Linked DNA regions of Kluyveromyces lactis. The protein of the gene in region 1 interacts with the protein of each later gene in a pairwise test. Links are inferred from orthologs where the notes say so. Each region holds a gene or a part of one and is shown in the gene's direction. Other genes may lie near its edges. The genes, in order: PEX13, STE20, PEX11, PEX21, PEX19, PEX2 and BNR1.

Region 1 (2,853 bases):
AGAAACTTCAACTGAAGATTGATGAGTTGAAACTGGATAACGATAAATTGCATTTGGATAACGAGAATTTAAAAGATATCAACAATAGTTTAACGAGAGCAAATGAGTCCTTGACCTTCCAAAGCAGCTCGTTATTACAGCATATACAACAATTACCAAGAATATCAAATACAGACTTCATAATTCACAATTCAGACAGGTCACGGGAGAATATATCGAATAAACCACCATTCAAATCAGATGCACTAGTAAAGATCGCTGTTGAAGGAAAGATAAAAGAGCTAGAGAAAGAATTAGCTAAATGCAGAAGAATTCAGAAGGCTTTGGAATCCAGACTGAGCCCAAGGAAAAACAGGGTAAAGTACTTAACAGTTGAACAACTCGACGCGCTGGCTGAATCCAAATCGGAGAGTAAGCCAGATGAATCTAGTTTACATATCAGCGATCCCGACAACACTACCGCTCATAACAGTACTACGACATTAGATTGTGACGAAGGCGAGGTATTATCGGGGAGTATTAATCCAACGAGACTACAGCATGGTTTCAATTTACGCATACAATTAACTTCTTTAGAAGAAAGCAAACACAAGAAGGACTTTTCATAAGATAATTACAAATTTTTTTCAAGCATAATACGGACAACATTTTCGATTCAATATTTACAACTATCCAATGCTGCTGATAAAGCTTTGTAGTAGATACATTCAACTCACATTGCAGCTGCTTCATTTCGAACTTTTATACATTCTTTCAATAATAACAAGGATACATATATACATAATATGCGTGTCATTCGGAACCAATTTAAATACAAAATATTTAAAAGAAGGAAATAAGGATTTTCATTCAAGTATCCAACGGTTCTTCGTGGAAAAGATATCGTCTATTGCTGATGAAAAGACGATATCTACTATTGTCTTTAAGTCACGACGCAGGAAATAGTAACTTGTTACCCGGCCAAAGCATATTTCAAAGATTGACGATGATTCTAAAAGTAACATTGAATCATGTCGTGGAGCTTAAATACAGGTAACGACAGTGATGAATACACATCGATTGTAGCGGTTTTGGCTTCTATTAAGTGCTGTGATCGAAGTTCATATTTATTAGAGCATCAGTAGTCATGTCACAATCGGCAGGTGTTTCCAGACCGAAGCCCTGGGAGCAGAAAAATGGAGTTGAGAGTTTAGGAACTGATGCCAGTTTTACTGAGAATAGCAGTGCGTTGCAACCATCTGGTAATCAGCCTGACTTACCATCCAAACCGAACGGTTTAAATGAGGGTATGGATTCTTTGAACGGGGGAAACCCTCTTCGAAATGGTATGTCTGGATATGGTTCGGCGTATGGTGGAGGTTTAGGTACAGGATATGGAATGGGTTCCATGGGTGGTGGATATGGATCCATGTACGGAGGTGGTTATGGCTCTATGTATGGTGGTGGTTTAGGGTCGATGTACGGCGGTGGTTTAGGGTCGATGTATGGGGGAGGGTTCGGATCAATGTATGGGATGAACGGTATGAACGGTATGAATGGAGGACCCTCGGGGATTGCAGAGTCAACACAGGCAACTTTCCAGTTAATAGAAGGGCTTATAGGAGCCGTTGCTGGTTTCGCCCAGATGTTAGAAGCTACATATATGGCTACCCATAACTCTTTTTTCACTATGATAACCGTTGCGGAACAGTTTCAATATATGAAGGAGCTTTTGGGATCATTCTTTGGTATATTTGCCTTGATAAAATTCGTAAAAAAGATCTTGTACAGAGTTACAGGTGGTAAGATGGGAGTAGCGCCTTCCAAAAAGCGCTTAGGGATAGAGGGCGGAAAGAGCCAGGGCTCAGATCTTTCAAAACAATTTATCGAAGAATTCAGGGACTCAGATCTGACGAAGAAAAAGGGTAGAAGAATTTCATGGAAACCATTGATTGTGTTTTTAGCAGCTGTGTTCGGCTTCCCGTACCTTTTGAACAAATTTATTCAGAAATTACAACAGCACCAAAAAGCCAAAATAGCTGGCGGCGCTATGGCACAACAAATCTTAGATCCTAATAACCTAGAATTTGCAAGAGCGATCTATGATTTCGTTCCTGAGAATCCAAGAATTGAATGTAACTTAAAGAAAGGAGATCTAATGGCAATCATTTCCAAGAAAGATCCACTAGGAAATAACTCTGAATGGTGGAAAGTCAGAACAAAACAAGGAAATATTGGGTACGTTCCATACAACTATCTTGAGTTGATTAAGAAAAGGAAAAATGGCGTACCTGTTGAATCTGAGAAATCGAATACTTCTGAAGAACTGGCGGATTCAACCTCGGTAGACCATCTATTACAGAATCAACAGTGATTACATGGTGATGGACAAGAATTGAATATGGCGGGTCACAAATGCTAAGTTAAAGATGTGATAGCTTCAGAAAGTTTCAGACTAAGTATTAAGAAGAATTACGTTGTATTTTTCTCTTGTTTCACGTTATATATGTATTTGTGGTTACTACACATTTATTATTCCATTGCTCGAACCCCAGATACGGCATTTGGAATGCTAGAATATTAGCACAAGGGCGTTTATTGTCACCCTGCTGCTTAAAGGATCAGGTAATTTGGTTTATTGGGAAAAGAGGACATCGACATTCCGGACTTTATCATCATCTCATTCCTTATTTTTATTCGTTTAGTTTGTCAGCAGCATTTTCCAGTTTTTCTTTACCCTTGGCAGCGGCTTCCTTACCCTTGGCAGCAGCCTCTCTACCTTTGGCTTGGGCGTGTTCCTTACCTTTCTCTGCAAGATCGCTGGCCTTGTTTGAAGCCGTGTCAGCAGCTTCCTTGGCATCCTGCCCTGTCATA
Region 2 (4,136 bases), on another chromosome or scaffold:
ATATAGAATTGTTGGAAGGTGGTTCGAAAATCTTAGTTGAATCTTTCAACGTGGAAGAGTACTTGATTCGTGTCTTTGACCAATTTTTGGGCAAAGGCGTAGATATGCAGCTCGCTGCCTTCAGGAACGGATTTTCGAAATCATTCCCTTATTCATCATTGCTAATCTTAACTCCGACAGAACTATCCGATTTGTTTGGTGCAGTTGCTGAAGATTGGTCTGTGCAAACGCTATACTCATCCATTCATGCAGACCATGGCTACTCGATGGATTCTCCAATCATAACAGACCTCATAGATATTTTGTCGAATTTTTCGACACAACAGAAACGTTTGTTCTTACAATTCATCACTGGCTCTCCGAAACTACCTCTTGGCGGTTTCAAAAACTTAAAACCCAAATTCACAGTAGTCCTGAAGCACCCAGATGGGAACATCTCGGCAGACCATTGCCTACCTAGCGTTATGACATGCGCCAATTACTTGAAACTACCAAAATACTCTGATAAACTGGTACTCAAAGATCGTATTGCACAAGCAATGACTGAAGGTTCCGGAGCCTTCCTATTGTCATAGAATATGTATATAACTACATAGAGATGTCTGTAGATCTAACCATACTCCACCCTAACTAAAGATTTCAATACCACATACTTTCGTGACATGTGACAGGATTTACTCTTTGGGATTGGCGAAAATGTTGAAACTGAAATTTAAAGCTTAAGAGTTTAAACAAACGGAATGTAAAGATCAGATGGTATGCATGTTTATAAGCAGATTAGAGAAACGAGCAAGCTCAATTGTTGCTTTAACTGTGGCTTGTGTTAGAACTAGGTTTTAAATTTTATTAATCAGGCTATCTCTGCCGATTTGACAAGTATTTCAGAGAGTAATACCAGGTAATACCATCTTCTTTTGGATCTTTTTAATAACAAGCACACATTATTTGTTTGTTTTGGCGAGAGTGTGATTTTAGCAATCAAAAGACGTTCGTTACACTGAATTACACAACAGGCTCTCGTTTTTAAGTTAGAAGGAGGTGAAGGTAGAAAGAATTTTACAGAGCACGTTTTGTCATTTCTTTCATTGTTTATCTGACTTGATCTTCTATTCTTTGAACAAAGTAATCTAGCTTTTTTTCTGACAGAAATTAACACGGCCACAGCAGGCTTTGTTACTGACGGTTGTATGCTCTAGAAATCATTACAGACCTGTTTGTGTTTTTCGGAATACCTTTCCTTTTTGTTCGGTCGATAGAATTAACCACAAGACATCTTTTGACACAGGCCTTTTTTTTTTGATAGAAGCTACTACACTCACTACTTTGTCTCCATATAATGACGGATACTGGATATACTGAAGAATTGTTACCAGGCACATTTGATGCGCTTTCCGTGAGAGAAAATGGTGGCAATACAGAAAGTGACACCAGTAGCATACGCAAAAGTCAAAATCAAGATTCAAAACAAGAGGATGTACATCGTGAAAATCTTTCAGTACAAACTCTAGAGGATCATACAGAAGTAACGGAGACTAGGGAACAATCTGTCTCAAAAGATCTCTTTGATTTACCTCGTGCACCAGCGAGTTTGGATGTGAAAGGATTACAAGAATCAGACGAAGATCATTACGTCAAAGACCTTTCAGATTATAAATCTATGGATCCAGGGAAACCGGGCACCGTACCAACAAATGTTTCGGAAATTTTTAATAGTAACCAGCCAACTTTGGATGAACCGATACAATTTACAAGAGTCTCTTCCAGTTCTGTGTTAAGTGAAAGTATATCGGAAGGTGATGCAGATTTAATATCGCATCTAGAAGGAAAAGTGGAAGAAGGAAATAATTTGACTTCGAAGGAGACGCCAGGGACAATTGAATCTATTGTTGGAGATAAGACGATGTCAACTATAGAAGGTTCCTCCCAAAATATAGGTAGAATATCTACTGGCGGGAGGATGACACCTGATCTCTCTCTTATGGGCGGGGCCCTGGAAACTTCTTCTGACTTCCTAAATTCCACACAAACCTCAAATTCTCCAAAGATTACAACACCTATAACTGAAGTTGATGCCAATGATGTATATGAGTCCCCGCTAAATGAGATATTATCATCTACAGATAGTTTCAACAAGGCATCGACAGCGTCTGCAGATCATTCGAAACACGTAAGTGTGCATGAAGTAATACCTGAAGAAGAACCACATCCAGAAACAACAAATGAGGATCCTCCAATTAAAACTCCCGTAATGGTGAATAACTTTTTCGAAAATCAAACACCAGTATCAGAATCAAGATCCCCCTTCAGAACCATTTCTTCTCCGTTTTCTTCTCTGAGGAAAAACGTTAAGAGTCAGCATGGGACGCCTGACCACTCCCAGAGGAATTCTAATTCCTCCACCTCCTCTAATGATGTTAAGAGGAAGACCGGTACTAAGAAGAAAGGTGTTTTCTCAACATTCGTTCAAAACATCAAGAGGAACTCACACTCAGAGAAAAGAATTTCTAGCGGAAGCGGTAATGGAAGTGGAAATAATGCATTTAAGATCTCTACTCCTTATAATGCTAAGCATGTTTATCATGTAGGTGTTGACTCCAAAACAGGGGAATATACAGGGTTACCAAATGAATGGGAGAAACTTTTAACTTCCAGTGGCATTAGTATGAAAGAACAACAGCAACATCCCCAGGCTGTGATGGATATTGTAAAATTCTACCAAGATGTTACTGAAAACTCTGGAGAAGAGAAAGTCTTCAAGACTTTCAAAGTAGGAGGTGGCTCTGGTGCAAACATTGCATCTACACCTTCTTTCAGAACCCCATCAACTGCATCAGTACAGAAGTTCGAAACTCCGCAAATGCAAACAGATGCAACTTTTCCGAATGAAAACAATGATACCCCATACTCTAGTAACTTACAGGGTCCGCTGCTCACTAACGATTTCAGTGAAACTGTGAACAACGAAAAGTTCATACCGACTCGGCCTGCTCCAAAACCTCAAGGTTCCTCCACAGTTAGCCGTAGGGTCGAAATCCCTTCACCAATCAATTCGCTTGGCCATGGAACACCAAAAGTGCAAAGAAGTGATACTCAGTCATCAAGCATTTTCTCATTCAAGAAGATGCCAACATTGAAAAGTGAGCAACCATTACCTCCTATTCCAAAGGCTGCAGAAAAACCAGCAAATTTATTGCCTGCAAGAGCGGCTCCTACTCCACCAAAACCTGCAATTCCTACAACACCGGAACAATCCTCAATACCTGCAATTCCTTCCGGGCTTGCTGTGGAAGTGAAAGAGGAATCGAATACTTCTAATGTCCAGACAAGAAAGGCCCAGGAAAAAAAGAGGGAAGAGAGGAAAAGAAAGAATCAACAAATTCAATCAAAATTAACCGAGATTTGCACAACAGGAGACCCAAGCAAACTGTACAAGAATCTGATCAAAATCGGACAAGGTGCATCAGGAGGAGTTTACACAGCGTATGAATTGGGCACAAATGCTTCAGTAGCAATAAAACAGATGAATTTGGAGAAACAACCCAAGAAAGAGTTAATTGTGAATGAAATTCTGGTCATGAAAGGAAGCAAACACAACAACATTGTTAATTTCATTGATTCATACCTATTTAGAGGTGATTTATGGGTTGTCATGGAATACATGGAAGGTGGTTCGTTGACTGATGTCGTTACGCACTGTATATTGACTGAAGGGCAAATCGGTGCCGTCTCTAGAGAAACACTCAAGGGTTTACAGTTTTTGCATTCAAAGGGAGTCATTCATAGAGATATTAAATCAGACAATATTTTGCTATCCATGAACGGAGACATCAAACTAACAGATTTCGGTTTTTGTGCTCAGATTAACGAGGTAAATTTGAAGAGAACGACGATGGTTGGTACTCCGTACTGGATGGCCCCAGAAGTCGTATCAAGAAAAGAATATGGACCAAAGGTTGATATTTGGTCTCTTGGTATTATGATCATTGAAATGATAGAAGGTGAACCACCATATCTGAATGAGACACCACTAAGAGCTCTATATTTGATCGCTACCAATGGTACGCCAAAGCTAAAGGATCCTGGAAATTTAAGTCATAAAATGGCTATGTTCTTAAATTGGTGTTTAATGGTTGATC
Region 3 (2,473 bases), about 1.6 Mb from region 1:
CTCTTGGAGCGAATAAATCAGGCGGGAGCAATTCGACAAAAGGAAGAGGTTCTTCAACTCTAGAATCTTCATTAGATTGCGCACCCACTACAGCAAGAAGATGGACCATCCAAAGTGGTAACTCTAGTTTTGCATTTTTCGATATTGGTCTGCCTGGGTTTCCCTCCAGATAACCCAACCCAGGAACGTCATAGTTGAATCTACAGGGAAATCTAGTACCATCAGCCAGTATATCATCTATATCATAGTATCCCATCTCGGCATAAATCTAAGGCGATTCTCAGGAAGCTGAACCGGCAAAATATAGGCTGGTATTTGGAATTGTAATCTTACTTTTGGCGTTTCTTCAATATGAGATATACAAATGCTTTAAATGATTTTAGGTTTGGGCTTGATGGCTCTAAATGTAAACAATAGAAAAGAACGCAGTATTATAAAGCAGAAGACATCGCTCGCTAGTTAACGATTCTTTTTTACGTGTTTCGCGATGTTGAGAGGAAATGCATCTCGATGATATAAATCACGTGATTGATGCTTGCACACTACAAAATCGTCATTATATCACTGTACACGATTCGCATACATGGCTTTCTCGTTGTCCCTTTTTTTTTTCTCGAGTTTCGGAACAAATCGGGCCATCCTTTTCAAGCTGTTAGCGGAAGGACATTTGGTCCGAAATACACGTAAAAATGTGCGCCTACATACTAAATATTATGTCGCCCTTTTTCCCGGGATCCCAGTCTTCACCTAGTAAGATTGCTATTGTTGCATGTCTTCCCCCGGTACAAATGTCCTTAATACAGCAGGATCTTCCGTGCTAGTAACTTCGCAGCTCTGACTTGTCCCTCCCATTTTTTGTGGGGGACCCGAAAGAAGTTGATAATAAAGTACGTTTCGCTGCTAAGTGGAAATCCTCTCCTTTTACCGTAGAGCCTGACTATTTTCTGTTGACCCTGCTTTGATCTATGCCCATTGACATATGAAGTATAACATCACACTTTATATATATATATATATATTTATATATAAAGTAGAAAATGACTGCTGAAAATAAAGACAAGCAGTTTTAAGCATTTTCACTACTCCTTGTATTCCTATCTCATCAGACTCTGTTGAAATACGTTGCACCTGCGATACAATCTCTCTCTAGTGCTTTGTTTGAATATACTGTTTCCAATATTCTACCTCCTTCAGAAATCAATTGAAATACTGAGCCAGTTATCCTGAGTCATCTTCCACATCTAAACTTATAAGTTTTACAAACAAAAATGGTTTTAGACACAGTTATTTATCATCCTACGTTGACCAAATTCATTTCTTTGTTGAATAAAACAGCCGGCAGAGAAAAGATCTTGAGATTGCTACAGTACTTGGTTAGATTCCTTGCCGTTCAATACAGATCTGGTTTGAATAGACAGTTACAATCTGAATTCACGTCTGTCAGAAAGATTTTGAGATTCTTCAAGCCATTGAATCATATCCAGGACGCAGCCAAATTATACGATAACAAGATTGCTCCAGATCAATGGGTTAGATGGTTGTCCATAATCAAAAATGTGGGTTATGTTGGGTATTTAACTTTGGATCAAATTAACTTGTTGCGCATCCTAAAGTTAATCCCAGCTACTCCTATTACTGCCAAGAAAGTTCCTCGTTACACAAACTGGTTTTGGTTCGTTGCGTTGATCGCTGGTTTGATCACCGATGTCCGTAAGTTGTACACTTCTCAAAGAAAGATCGAAGCCTCTTTGAGTTCTAAGGGCAATGCACCAACCGAAAAGGCTAGTTCTGAAAAGTTGACCGCTTACTACAATGAGAGATTCGCCGCATTCAGAAGACTAATCTGGGATTCTATCGATACTTTCATTGTCTTAAATAACTTGCAATTCTTGCGTAATGACGAATCAAGTGTCGCCCTGGCTGGTGTCGCTACATCCGTCTTTGGTCTACAAGATGTCTGGAAGACTGCTTAAAGGACTTCTCCTTCCCTTTAATTTAGTTTATATATATATATATATTTATATGTATCTTCTTTCAACTTAACATATTACTCGATATGTTGATAATTGTAATTTCAGCTGGTACCGGGATAATTTCTGATGATGCCTCCGTATTAACTAGATGTCTGTGCAGCTATTAGGATATACTATCACCATTGTTTCATCATTTTAATACCAATGTTACCCGCACTTGTTGATGTTTACACTTTTCGACAGGCTTCAAAGTTGAAATTGTTGAAAACTACTTGAAATTCCATTTCATCGAGGACATTAAGCGAGCACCATATTCGCGGCTACTCTTGCACTTCTATTCGTAATTCATTGCTTCTGCGGGATAACATCACCACTATTTTTATAGGTGGATATTCCTCAATTTAGACTAATCGCTTTGGGATTATTTCATTCTGTTCTTTTCATTGAAAAGCCGGTTGTTAATCTGATCTGGTATTCGAAATACAGCAGATTGTTAAAAA
Region 4 (2,732 bases), about 370 kb from region 1:
AAACTGGACCTGAAATCTGGGTGAAGAAGCAACGACTTAGCCGGAGGAAAAACGGTTCTTGCCTTGCTGAATGATACCGGATAACTATAAACTAATCTGAATATTCAGCTACTGTTATATAATTATCTAAAATTGGATACTGAACCCAGGAAGGGTATCAAGATATATTCTCCGTTTATACATCAATTTTTCATCATTACAATATATTCTCTTTCTCTAATGATGCAACGGAAAATTGACAAATGACCAATAAATGGGCGACTCATCTGGCACCAATCGAAAAGAAATACACGATGACTGACTTAATTAATTTAACCGGTACAGTACCCAGCCATGTGATACCTAAATTTGATGCCTTGGCTCGAATAAAGGAACTTAAGCCATACGAGTGAACAGGGCAGCTTTCGCTGCCCTGTTCACTACTAAATTGCCTGTTCAAATTGGCTTTGCCCTTTGGCAATGACAGATTCTATTTCTTTTTCTTCCTTTAACTACTGGCATATTGAGTTAAGAAACACCTGGGAATGATCTCCGGGTAACGCGGAAAAAAAACCCACCTCTTGCTGCACCCCTTTTTTCATTGTCCACACTGTGCTTTGCCCGATTTTGCGGGTGTCGCACGACGACGGAGTTTATTTCCGCCGTTTCAGGCAAGGGAAGAGCTGAAACGGCTGAGTGACGGGTGGCGGCCGGGTAAGGAAAGAAAATACACTGATTACATAATACCATCCACGTGACGTAGTCACGTGGATGGTATTATGTAATCTCAGAGTTGAATGTCCGAAAGCATTCTTTTTTTTTTTTCTTCCTTCCTTTTCCTTTTCCCCCGGGGTTTAAAAATTCCGTTCCGTCCCGACCGGCATTCATTATGCAACTAATCGTCTTTTAGATTATCAAAATGTCAAATGATTATTCCATTTCGACCGAACTACCGCCTCTCCACTTGCTTACGTACTGTTTTTGGGTTCCCTCATCTAATAGCTTCCTCAATCGGCTAGAAGTGCCAGTACTGGTCTTCAGAAGTCCATAGAAAGCCTCACTGTTACCCGGGGGGTTTGCGCATCTGTCGCTCTTTCACTTTTTTTTTTTTTATTCACTTCCATTCCACATCTTTCAACCGTTAGTGGTCTGAACTTGTTTCATTTCTTTATTCATAATTTCTTTCTTTCGTCCAGGTTCTGCATTTATTATATATATATATATATATGTATATAAATAAAGTTTGTACATTGCTTGTTTCGATGATTTGCGGACTAGTTGTCTTATGTCTGTTGCTCGAGGAGACTACCACCAACCAAGAAATATAATACCATGTCAGTGTGTCAAACGAATCCTTTGAACACTCTTGTTTCGAAGTCTGGTTATAGGTTCGGACAGCCGAATCAGCACCAACAGAGCATCGCACAGCAGCAGAGCAGACCAAGAAATAATGCACTAGACCACCAGTTCTCTCAGTTTACTGGTGCCTCGGGTCCCAGTTTCGCTCATCCACAGCATCAACAGCTGCCTATGGCAGCTGTTGTTGCTAACGCTACTACTGCAGCCAGTACTACTAGTAATACTGCTACAGCCTCTGATCACCATGTTTGGATCGATCAGTTCGCAAACATGCAGGTGCACGACAAGACCGAGTTCCCAACAGATTATAAACAGATGTATTCGCAGTACGAGGCGCGTGGCGCCTCGTACTCCATGGGTGCACCGGTGATGGTGTCCCATTCACAAATGTTCCCGCGTCATCAGCAATCTCTGATGGTGAACCAACTCGAGTCACAAGCGTATGCCAGTAGTAGCGCGAAGCTCGATGAACAATTTGCTGAACTGGAAAGACAAGTGCAAGACGATGAAAAAGAACAGCAACAGGACAAGGATGACGATTTCCATCTCAAAGAAACGTCTCCTCTAGACGAAGATCAACGCCAATTAAAAGAAGCAGCCCAATCCATTTACACAACTCTTTCAGATAAATCATCTACAACTAGTTCGAAATTTTCGAACTCCAAGTTCCTTGGACTCATGAGAAATATCAGCGATGGTGTAATAACTCTGAAAAAGAACCCAGATGAGGATAAATATACGGAATTATATTCTCCTTCTACCGGTGAAACTTTTGGCGAAGAGTATTTCCCAGTGCAGGATAGTGTTTTAGGCGACCCCTTGGACTCCATTGGTGACTTATCTAATATGAGTTCATCGGAAGCCGCTGCAAAAGTGTACCATAACTCCGTTTGAAAAAAAAAAAATAAAATGGTATTACTAAGTATGAGTGGAGGGGTATTTCTCTGTTGTCAGATCTACTGTTATTTTGTCGATACATATTGAGTTAGAGTTACTCTACACTCACGTGGAAAATCACCTGGCAGGATCACCATATTCTACTTACTTCCCAATATTAGATTAACTTAGCTAAAGCTTAGTTCCAAAAATAATCTTATTTAATGACTATAATGATACATTTCAATCTCTTTTGCTTGAGTTGATGATTCTGCCTTTCTTGTGCCGTAATCTTCCATATTGGTAGCAAGACCAGTCGCTATCGTGCCTATAGACCCATCAGCATCTTCTTCCTCTGTTGCTAGTAACCCAAGCCCGTTTTTAAACTCATTTACTAAGGACCAAATCGCACTTCCCGCATTGTCGTCACCTTTTGGCTTGCCCTCTGATTGATTTTCAGTTGCACTGGATCCCGAGTCGCCTAATCCTAACTTCGTTTCAACGGTCCCCTGAATAAT
Region 5 (2,640 bases), about 1.3 Mb from region 1:
TGAAAGAAAGATGTCAGGATTGCTTTTCTACATTGGATAGTTTTATTGCATACAAACAAAATGAACGTAACAAATAAAACAATAAATATATACAGTCTACACCTGATAATAGTAAAATACAAAATAATTGAATAAATCAAGTATTCATTAGCATTATTCTTGATATTAATTTTAAATTTTACACGAGAACTATACACCTACTGGATCGTTCCATCCTATGATATATCTCTATACAGCCATATAACAATGGTCAACACCGTAGAATAAATCGAGCCATAGAATACAGCAAATTTATTTGATTTGCGCTTTACGCTGGGGAAGGCCCAGGGTTTCCCGCAAGTTGATATCTGCCGTCATCTGCGTATTTGCATTTTCTCTGTCAGTAAATGGTTTACTTCCGAAGTTGTATTATGGAGGTATCACTTGGTATACCTAAGAGCTTGTTCTGAGACTTTCCTCTCATATTCCTTAATGTTTTTCGAGAAAGCTCTCCAAGCTGGCTCTTGCGCAGGTGAGTTAGGGTTCGGAGAATCCAAAAGATCCTGTACACCAAGTAAGAGTTGTTTCAAGGTGATAGCAGGTCTCCAGTCCTGATCTTCGTTCAAGATTGATAAGCAAATGGTTCCACTGGGATAAACATTAGGGTGATAAAATCCTGCTGGAAATTTCACTTTAGGAGGTTTTGACGGATAGTCATCAGGATATTCAATGGTCAAAGGATAAAGACCATTTTTCCAGAGAGTGCCGTCTCTTCCAGGGATACCAGCCTCCCATTTCTGCAAGTTCATAGATCCATCTGTCTTTTTAGTTGGTTTGGCAAAGAACCCATAAGGATGATCTTTTCTCCACTTCTTTCTCTCCTCTTGTAACCTCTGTAGACAAAGACTACTCATGACTGTTTATATTATTCGGCCGTTCTGATCGTCGAGTCGCTTTAATATACAGATACCGTAAATATATTAAGGTACGTTGCGCCCTGTTGTAAATAGAGCCTTAACTCAGATTTACCGTTGTTGAATAATTGGAGGATATGATATTCCGTGCGATACGTCTTTTTGTTTGTGATTTTGAAGATGATTTTGATATTGTAGAAAAAGCATCAATAGTGTTTTGAAGAAAAAGTGATATTTTTCAGAATTGACAGTGACTAAAGAAACCTTAACTGAGGTATAATTAATAGTAAGGGCTACGCACCACCAAAATTTCAACGGATAGTAATCAGATACTTCGACAAACGATGTCAGACAACAAAGTTGACGAATTTGATGATTTGGATGACTATTTAGAGGATCCACGCAAACTGGATGAACAGGAAAAACAAGAAACTGTTCCAAATGAGGCAGTTACTAAGGGTGAGCCTGCTACGCAGAGCGATGATCCAGAAGTAGTCGAGATGATGGAAGATTTGCAGAAACAGTTCCAACAATTGATGCAGCAGGAAGGCGGTGATACTGACCAAGAAATGGTTCAGAATTTCGAGACATTGCTAACTGTACTTGGAGATGCATCGAAGGAGAAAGACCATAACAGTGTAAAACACGTTCAGGAGCAATTGAAGAGCGGTACTGGTTTCAAGAATATCATTTCCAACACCCTAGATAGATTGAAAGAAAATTCTACGAAAGTGGATGAAAGTTTGGAGGAAGAGAAGAAAAATCAGAACTCAGACGATATTCTTTCCCAATTGCTAGATCAACTAGTGGAAAACGGCGATGGCAACGGTACGGACGGAGAAGGAATGGACAATGCCATTTTGAAAATGCTTTCACAAATGTCTTCTAAAGAAGTGCTATATCAGCCGATGAAACAAATGCAGGGAGAATTCACCGAGTGGATGGGATTACACGAAGAAGACCCCGAACACAGCGACAAGATTGATAACTACAAGAAACAGTATGCACTTGTGAATCAGATCATCGGTGTATTCGAAAGCGATGATTATACGAATGAAAAGTACCATGCTGAGATCGCAGATCTATTGGATGAACTAGAGCAACTCGGTGACTCACCGGTTGCAAAGGGAACTAGTAACGATCCTGGAAACGATATGTCAGAATTAGCCAAGATGCTGGAAATACAAGGAGATGAAAATCTAGGTAACATCGACAAAGACCTTGAAGATACCTGCAAACAGCAATAAAATGTGTATATGAGCTCATAATATAATATTTAATCATAATAAACTATTATTCTATTTCTTTCACTCTTTGCCTATTAGTATGATATTCGAATAATATGGCTATTTTTCTCTTTTCGACTTTGAAATTCATATTGAGGACTGAAATCACGAGACTAGCTCTAAACCAATAATAACCAATATACTATGCAAGATTGAATATATGTGACAACTTTTTGCCATAAGGTATACGGGACAGTGCACTCTTCTGAGTATCTCCCATTAGACACTTCCCTCTCAAAGAGCACCCTTTCTTTTAGCCATTCTTTAACACAGCATGTTTGTTCTTACATGCATATGTTCGCATATTTACAAAATAAATTGAGGAATGTTCGTATTCTATTTTTGTCACAGTCCTATGTTCGAGCATGGAAAAACCAAAATAAAAGAAAATTGAATATGAAAGAGTTGATCTACCTTCTTAAACCATGTTAAAATTTTGGACGAAGTTTGTTTCATAGTGA
Region 6 (2,646 bases), on another chromosome or scaffold:
TCTATAAGCATTTTCCTCGTTTTGATCATCAATGGACGTTGAGGATACAACTGAACTTTTTAACAACCGTTCGACACTTCCCTTGACACATGAGACACTGTGATGAAGCTTTTTAAGTTCATCAGACCGACGCGGTGGTACGACGTAATCCAGCGTACACACCAAACCACGTTTCGAACAGGCAGTGCAAGGACCGGGTCTTGTGTTTGCAGAATCACATTTTACCTTGTTCTTTCTGCATCTGGTACAAGACCGCAACGGTTTGAGCATTTTTAATGTTAGGAAAAAAAAATTTGGGGCACGCAGAGGTACGAACGGATGGTAGCCAGTATCTGCCAGCGGCACTCAGAGAACTAATGGGATGAAATCTGCGCGTTATCCCAACAACCACTGGCAAGTGCCCGCGTATATCTATACATACACTTACATTCACATCCATATATATATATATATATATATATATTTATGTACATATAGATGGCTTGATATCGAAAAGCAAATGTAATTAAAGCATTATAAAGTAACTCATCTCCTAGAATTAGCTTTAACCGAGGAAAAACTCTGGAGTTTCGAACTTCAAAATAACAGGAGATTAAAAAAACTGCCAGAAAGTCCTAATGGCCCTTAAGGTGGGCTCTCAGTAATTCCCCGTTGATGACACTAGCAGGCAAAAAAACAAACAAACAAAGAACCAGGCTCTGAACCGAACCCTTCTGCGATTGACGGAACCAGTCCATAACCCTGTGTGTCCGATATTTTTTTGTGGTATATTACCGGTGCGGTATGTAAAAGCATCCCCGTATAATAAGCTGCTTCCCAATATTGACCGAAAAGGCTCACTTGACAAAAACGGATGTTGTAGACTATTCGGTGTATATCACATAAGCTCAGGTAAGCTGCGCTGCGGCGTTTAGACACACTTTAATAGATCAAAACGTGAAGCCTACGGCCCAAAAAAGTATTGTAGCATTTTCTGCTGCATTCTCCTTGTTTGATTGACTGTGCTTTTTTTGCTTGCAGATTTTTCTCTAACTCCGCGGTAGAAGCTCTCAGTCAGATACGTACGAAACGAATAACTGAATAGCCTTTGGCATAAAAGTACCGAGTACAAAGAGCAAAAAAAATGCCCTCGAAGTAAGGATAAACTGGAGGCCATCCAAACAACGGGGAATATAATTTCGGAGTTATCGCAGCCCTGGTCTCATAGTTCCTGGTATCCATACTGTCCGATTGTATTACAGTGAGACATCTATCTATATCAAGAGAGATAGGTACTGTGTTTTATTATCTGGAAGTCACGCTGCTGCTTTATTATTTTGCAATTTGTACCGGTGAAATATTTCATTGCTAACACTAAGTAACGAAGGGTAGTGAGTGTTTTAAGCGCAATACGTTATCTGTCGATCCGAATATGTCAAGGGTTGCTCAATTAGATGGAGTTTCACTTGATCTGCAGCTCACCAGGGCACTTCAATCGGATTTGGGTTTTCCTTGTCCGCAGATAGTTGTTGAAATTCTGGTATTCTTACTTGGGAGTAGGCGATGGCATCAGGGTAGTGTCGCAACATATGGTAGTGTTCTCACTGGTGTTGGCTATCAATGCTCTCGTTGGCGGTTATTTGCTGTTACCGTGGTATTAAGACATCTGTTGCATCGGTTTGAAAGGACCAATTTGGTTTACGAACTTTTAGATTTGATCCATCTTTTACAATTTTTAACGTCGGGTACAGGTGGTCCCTCTCTTTTGCATCGATTGTTCCGAGTCCCTGCAGTGTTCCAACCGGGATTCTCGTATTCTGATACTACTTCAGGATCATCAGCATCTGAGGTTCAGATGCTCTGGAATGCTTCCATTGAGATGATAGCTGGTCTATCGTTATTTAAAAACGGATTCGTTTCTGTGACAAGTACTAACGCAGCTGCGGTGGCAGCTGCAAAGGCTATTGCCGGTGGTAGTTCTTCAGTTGGGGCCCCTGGTGAGAAGTTTTCGCAAAAGAATACTTTATGCCCTGTTTGTGGTGAGGTCGCTACAAATGCATTTACAATCACTTGCTGCAATACAAGGTATTGCTACACTTGTGCGTTGGAAGTGGAACAGTCACATTGCCTAGTTTGTAATACTAAGAACCCAAAATTCTTTTGCTAAAGTGTTTATTATACCCTATATATTCACACCTAGGCCAAATCTATATACGTTATTACTTCCCAGGCAATGCTAAAACAGTATTATTAAACTCTCTTACAGTTATTTCGCACCGCACTTGTTTACACAACTCCTTCTTCTTCTCCTTTGGAACATTCTGCAACAGCTGCAGGCCGGAACTCCTTTCTAATGCATTGACGGGTACTTCAAACTCTATTAATGTTGTAGAGTTCGAAATAGGAGCATTTGGTAAGACAAATGCGGCAACGTGCAGCTCATCATCACGACCATTTCCAAGCTGCTTAGGTCTTTCAGCCACGACCAACTTGAAAAAATGCGTTGGGACTGCAATGTTAGGTGGATTTCCAATCATCTCGTATGTGACTTTGAACTTACCGTCTTTGGGGTCTCGCTTCGGCAAGTATAAGGGACCTGTCATAATTCGAACACTGTTGTATTTATCGACTAATTGTCTGCAGAAATACTCCAAATGTGCCCAGTAA
Region 7 (4,114 bases), on another chromosome or scaffold:
TAGCCACTAACGGAGTTTGATATGGCAAACCAGCAGCTAACATCGCAGCTCTATGTTCTGTCGCACCTGCACCGGGATTCAACACATTACCACACGCAATTTCTTCAATGACACTCTTATCAATGTCAACTTTCTCAAAAAATTCCTTCAGAAACTGTGTAAGTAAATAATCCGTGTTAACATCTTTGAATCCTCCTTTGAACCCTTTACCAATAGCTGAACGATACGCAGCTACAACAACCACATCGTCCGGATTCTTACTCTTTATATCCTTTTCAGAACTGCGTCCTGTCAAATGTTTCTCTAATTGTTGAAGTCTGCTAGCCATATTATATTTCTGATTGACTGTACTCGCCTGTAGTATACTTATATCTTGCCCTATGATGTTCACTTGTCAATCAATTCATCTGATAAAAGTCAGTGATAAAGGAATAATGTCAGCATGACACATTTATGTACGTAATTTATACAAAAAATTATTTGTCAAAGGGATCACTCGCTAAAATAAATATGGGGAATAACGAACAATGAGCAGAACCAACCAGCCGTCGTTTTGGAGTATGTTAAAGAGGATTTAATGATCGCATACATCCCTTCTTCACGGCCATTAAGCTCGCAGTTAATCATCAACACTGAAAAGCAGAAACTTTACGGAGCTCCACGATGTCATTAACAATGATCCTGACTTAATCTAACTACAGTCTCAAATTTGCCTTTGCTCAAGGCTATGTCGTAGAATTGGAGATCGGCATTGTCACACTAATTCCGGTTTTCGTTATGAAATACCCTAAAAATGAAAGACCAACGTCGCATGCGGGGTAACCCCCAAGTTGAAAAAACTTACCCCGGGTAGCAAAGAAGATCCAACTCACGTGACTAGTATCTATAGATTGTTTCACGTGTCGCGTACTGTTTCCTTCTGGTCTCTTCTTCCTTTCCAAAGTGCGTTTCTGAGCTTTTGATCCTGTTTTTGTTTACGTTTTTTAATTTTTGATCCATCTATTAAGGAACGTAACAAAATGAAGCACTAAAAGCGTATGAAATTTAGTACACATGTTTTGTAACACAAAGGAAATCCATAAATACGTACACTTGAAGAGAGTCTAAAACTGTTCTACAATCAGCTTTGCTAATCATTAGAATTAATCGTTTTCTTTGACAAATTGTTTTTTGTACAAGCGTTTATCTAGTGAAATTATTTCGCTATCTCCCAGATCATTATTGAATGATCGCGTTTTCCTTGTATTGATGAGTATCAAATCACTTTTCTGGCTATAATTCTGCAACTGAAAATCAACAAACTTTGACCGACCAATGACTGTTGATAAGAATGAAAAATCCATTAGTATTTTGTTTCCGCTTCGATCTGGATCCATTAATGCTCCGACTGCAAATGCCAAGACCAGGTTTTCTAGCAATGATTCCAACGATGATCTGGTAATACAAGGGCTGAATCTAGTAGGAACAGGGCTCAAACCTCGCTCCCAGACCCTGCGATACATGAAATCACACAACTTTTCAACTCCGAACGTTGATTCTACGCGACATGTTTCTAAAACGGATAAAATGTGTTTAGCAGACACTCAGCTACCGTCAGAACAAGAAATTGATGCCAAGTTTGAAGAGTTATTGAATGGACATGCGTTTCTAGGTACTGCTAAGCAAAATTTGAAAAGCTTGTCGTATACCCGTAAATGGGAATTGATTCAGAAGGAAAAGAAACTACATGGTGATATAACGATGCAAGACGATTCAAAATTGAATACTTTACATATGATTTTGAGCAATTTGAATAAGAGATTCTCGGTTACTCAAACACTTTATCAATTGGAACGTTTACTTCGACATGCTGATTTTATTTCGCTGTTTGTGAATGCAAACGGAGTTTCGATTTTGAATGGGTTCATTGATTTATTGGATAAAAAATCCCAGTACGTGTACTTATGCTGTTATAAAGCATTGCTTAACGATACTTCAGCAAGATCTGTGATATTCCAGAATAATGATTGGATAACTTACGTCTTCTGCCTTTTAGGAACGCTCACAACTGACCTTAGAGTTCGTCTTTTATCTACCCAAATTGTGATCCTTCTGACATATTCCACTGAATGGTCAGATTCTTTGTTGGAATCGTTAGATTTGTGCTACGAAAGTTGGATCCAGGCAGTAGAAATGACTCTTCGAAACCCGGAGGATTATGCGTTTAACAACTCTTTAATTCTTCCAAAACCAAAAGAATTGCTCGTAGATTACTCTATATCTACATTGTTACTGGTTCAATCCATTCAACAACTTCTGCCTTCCAATGATCTAAAACTGGCGTGTTTCAAAAGATGGAAGAGAGCTGGAATACACCGGGTTTTCCGGCTAATGAAGGATTTAGACTCATCAGCTTTGAATCAGGACATAGACCTGTATATCGAACTTGAATTGAAGGTGCAAGACAAACAGTTCAAAAATGAGTTTCTGAGTGAAATATCTTATGGTCCTCAAATCAAGAGTTTAATCGAATATACTAAAGATACGCCGTTAGAAACGCCTATTTGCAATATTATAGAAACGATCTTGGAGCTAGTAAATGAAAGAACAACGGAAGGTTCAATAAAACTGTTCTATGTTTTCAATTCTATTCTAACCTATCTATGCGAACATACCTTGGATGGTAGCTTTGATGAAACCAACACGGAACAAGTTTTCATGACCTCACTAGATCATATAATGGATAACTTACAATCCCATCAAATTGCCAAAAGAGCAATGATGGAACTGGATGAAAAGAAGAAAGAATTTGATGGAATACAACTTCAATTGGATACATTGCTACAAGACAAACAGGTTTCCAAAGGGGATCTACTGCAGAAATTAGAAAATAAAGAAGAACTTTTGAAATCAAGGGAAATAAGAATAGAAGAATTGCAAGACAGATTGGAAGTTGTAGAAAATCAGCTAAAGAAAGAAAAGAAACAGTTGGATCTCACTATCGCCCATAGAGATGTAGCAGAATATACACCAAAACGTTCTGTGTCACTGTTTGAGACTTTAAAAGAACATAAACCGCTTATTGGTACTCAACGATCAACTTCCTTATCAAAAAGTAAACGTATAGCATCGCTATCCACTGTTGCAAATGAAAAACCTCAGTCAAAATATCCGCACTCTACCCCTTATAACATCTTGAATAACAATTCTGACGATGACCTTCCAGTGACTCCGATATATCCACGCAAGAACGACATATTCCATCAGGTATCAGCACTCCCAAAACTATCTTCCAGTAATGATGTAGTATCAGCAACGACCACAGAAGTTCCATCAGCCCAAACAGCATTTGTGATTCCTGCTTCTATTGCAGCACCAGCGGCTCCGCCGCCTCCACCACCACCTTTACCGCCTCAACTGAAAAGTATAGAAGCCTTCACCTCACCAATGACCAATGGACCGGCCCTAGTAACTAGTTCTGCTTCCTGTGCTTCGTCAAATGTCGCGCCTCCACCTCCGCCTCCACCTCCGCCTCCACCATTACCATCAACTCTGTCATCCCTGAACAAGGAATCCACAGTAGAAGATACATCTTTATCAGTTGCATTCCCAAACGAAACCCTCCCAGGAAAACCAACAGACGGCATTCCTCCTCCTCCACCGCCTCCTCCTCCTCCTCCACCATTACCTCTAGCTAACAATGTGACATTCGTGTCTAAGCCTAAACCAGAGGTAAAACCGTTGAAGCAGATTCATTGGGACAAGATAGAGGATATTAGTGACACACTTTGGAATGAACCAACAACTAGGAGTGACTTAAAGGAGGACTTAAATGAAAAGGGTGTCTTTAATGAGATTGTGAACTTGTTTGAACAGAAGGCAGTTCGAATGAAGAAGAAATCCAACGTTACAGCTAGTAAGAAGAACGAAAAAGTTTCTCTTTTGTCAAGGGATCTGGCTCAACAATTTGGAATCAACCTACATATGTTTTCTTCATATTCTGTTGAAGACCTTTTGATAAAAGTACTAAGGTGTGACGATGATATAATCAAGAATCATAGCGTTCTTGAGTTCTTTAACAAGGATGACTTCGAAACTATCCCCCAAAGTATAATTAGATCTTTCGAACCCTATG

Evidence for each region.
Region 2: the proteins of PEX13 (region 1) and STE20 interact in binary tests that used the Saccharomyces cerevisiae proteins (3 or more experiments, as listed by UniProt). The link is inferred for Kluyveromyces lactis from reciprocal best matches to the Saccharomyces cerevisiae genes PEX13 and STE20.
Region 3: the proteins of PEX13 (region 1) and PEX11 interact in a protein complementation assay, tested with the Saccharomyces cerevisiae proteins (2 studies listed by BioGRID). The link is inferred for Kluyveromyces lactis from reciprocal best matches to the Saccharomyces cerevisiae genes PEX13 and PEX11.
Region 4: the proteins of PEX13 (region 1) and PEX21 interact in a two-hybrid assay, tested with the Saccharomyces cerevisiae proteins (2 studies listed by BioGRID). The link is inferred for Kluyveromyces lactis from reciprocal best matches to the Saccharomyces cerevisiae genes PEX13 and PEX21.
Region 5: the proteins of PEX13 (region 1) and PEX19 interact in a two-hybrid assay, tested with the Saccharomyces cerevisiae proteins (4 studies listed by BioGRID, with this or other methods). The link is inferred for Kluyveromyces lactis from reciprocal best matches to the Saccharomyces cerevisiae genes PEX13 and PEX19.
Region 6: the proteins of PEX13 (region 1) and PEX2 interact in binary tests that used the Saccharomyces cerevisiae proteins (3 or more experiments, as listed by UniProt). The link is inferred for Kluyveromyces lactis from reciprocal best matches to the Saccharomyces cerevisiae genes PEX13 and PEX2.
Region 7: the proteins of PEX13 (region 1) and BNR1 interact in a two-hybrid assay, tested with the Saccharomyces cerevisiae proteins (2 studies listed by BioGRID). The link is inferred for Kluyveromyces lactis from reciprocal best matches to the Saccharomyces cerevisiae genes PEX13 and BNR1.

The regions. Positions count from the first base shown.
Region 1 is NC_006041.1:1,756,182-1,759,034, reverse strand, and holds PEX13 (peroxin PEX13), read left to right. Parts: upstream 1-1,126; coding exon 1,127-2,353; downstream 2,354-2,853. Other genes in the region: MMR1 (Mmr1p), read left to right, coding at 1-608; KLLA0_E19713g (uncharacterized protein), read right to left, coding at 2,673-2,853. UniProt on the Saccharomyces cerevisiae protein: Component of the PEX13-PEX14 docking complex, a translocon channel that specifically mediates the import of peroxisomal cargo proteins bound to PEX5 or PEX21 receptors.
Region 2 is NC_006038.1:1,190,256-1,194,391, forward strand, and holds the start of STE20 (mitogen-activated protein kinase kinase kinase kinase STE20), read left to right. Parts: upstream 1-1,336; coding exon 1,337-4,136. Other genes in the region: putative ubiquitin-protein ligase UFD4, read left to right, coding at 1-575. UniProt on the Saccharomyces cerevisiae protein: MAP4K component of the MAPK pathway required for the mating pheromone response, haploid invasive growth and diploid pseudohyphal development. Links the pheromone response G-protein beta gamma subunits to downstream signaling components.
Region 3 is NC_006041.1:177,014-179,486, reverse strand, and holds PEX11 (Pex11p), read left to right. Parts: upstream 1-1,268; coding exon 1,269-1,973; downstream 1,974-2,473. Other genes in the region: DNA replication protein PSF3, read right to left, coding at 1-256. UniProt on the Saccharomyces cerevisiae protein: Involved in peroxisomal proliferation. Promotes peroxisome division and biogenesis.
Region 4 is NC_006041.1:1,384,491-1,387,222, forward strand, and holds PEX21 (Pex21p), read left to right. Parts: upstream 1-1,311; coding exon 1,312-2,232; downstream 2,233-2,732. Other genes in the region: TDA11 (Tda11p), read right to left, coding at 2,436-2,732. UniProt on the Saccharomyces cerevisiae protein: Receptor that mediates peroxisomal import of proteins containing a C-terminal PTS2-type peroxisomal targeting signal via its interaction with PEX7.
Region 5 is NC_006041.1:441,699-444,338, reverse strand, and holds PEX19 (Pex19p), read left to right. Parts: upstream 1-1,237; coding exon 1,238-2,140; downstream 2,141-2,640. Other genes in the region: SYO1 (Syo1p), read left to right, coding at 1-77; E2 SUMO-conjugating protein UBC9, read right to left, coding at 420-893. UniProt on the Saccharomyces cerevisiae protein: Required for proper post-translational import and stabilization of peroxisomal membrane proteins (PMPs).
Region 6 is NC_006040.1:37,093-39,738, forward strand, and holds PEX2 (ubiquitin-protein ligase peroxin 2), read left to right. Parts: upstream 1-1,411; coding exon 1,412-2,146; downstream 2,147-2,646. Other genes in the region: KLLA0_D00396g (Zn(II)2Cys6 transcription factor domain-containing protein), read right to left, coding at 1-270; NUC1 (ribonuclease), read right to left, coding at 2,199-2,646. UniProt on the Saccharomyces cerevisiae protein: E3 ubiquitin-protein ligase component of a retrotranslocation channel required for peroxisome organization by mediating export of the PEX5 receptor from peroxisomes to the cytosol, thereby promoting PEX5 recycling.
Region 7 is NC_006042.1:1,002,513-1,006,626, forward strand, and holds the start of BNR1 (formin BNR1), read left to right. Parts: upstream 1-1,314; coding exon 1,315-4,114. Other genes in the region: POT1 (acetyl-CoA C-acyltransferase), read right to left, coding at 1-328. UniProt on the Saccharomyces cerevisiae protein: May organize microtubules by mediating spindle positioning and movement in the budding process. Potential target of the RHO family members.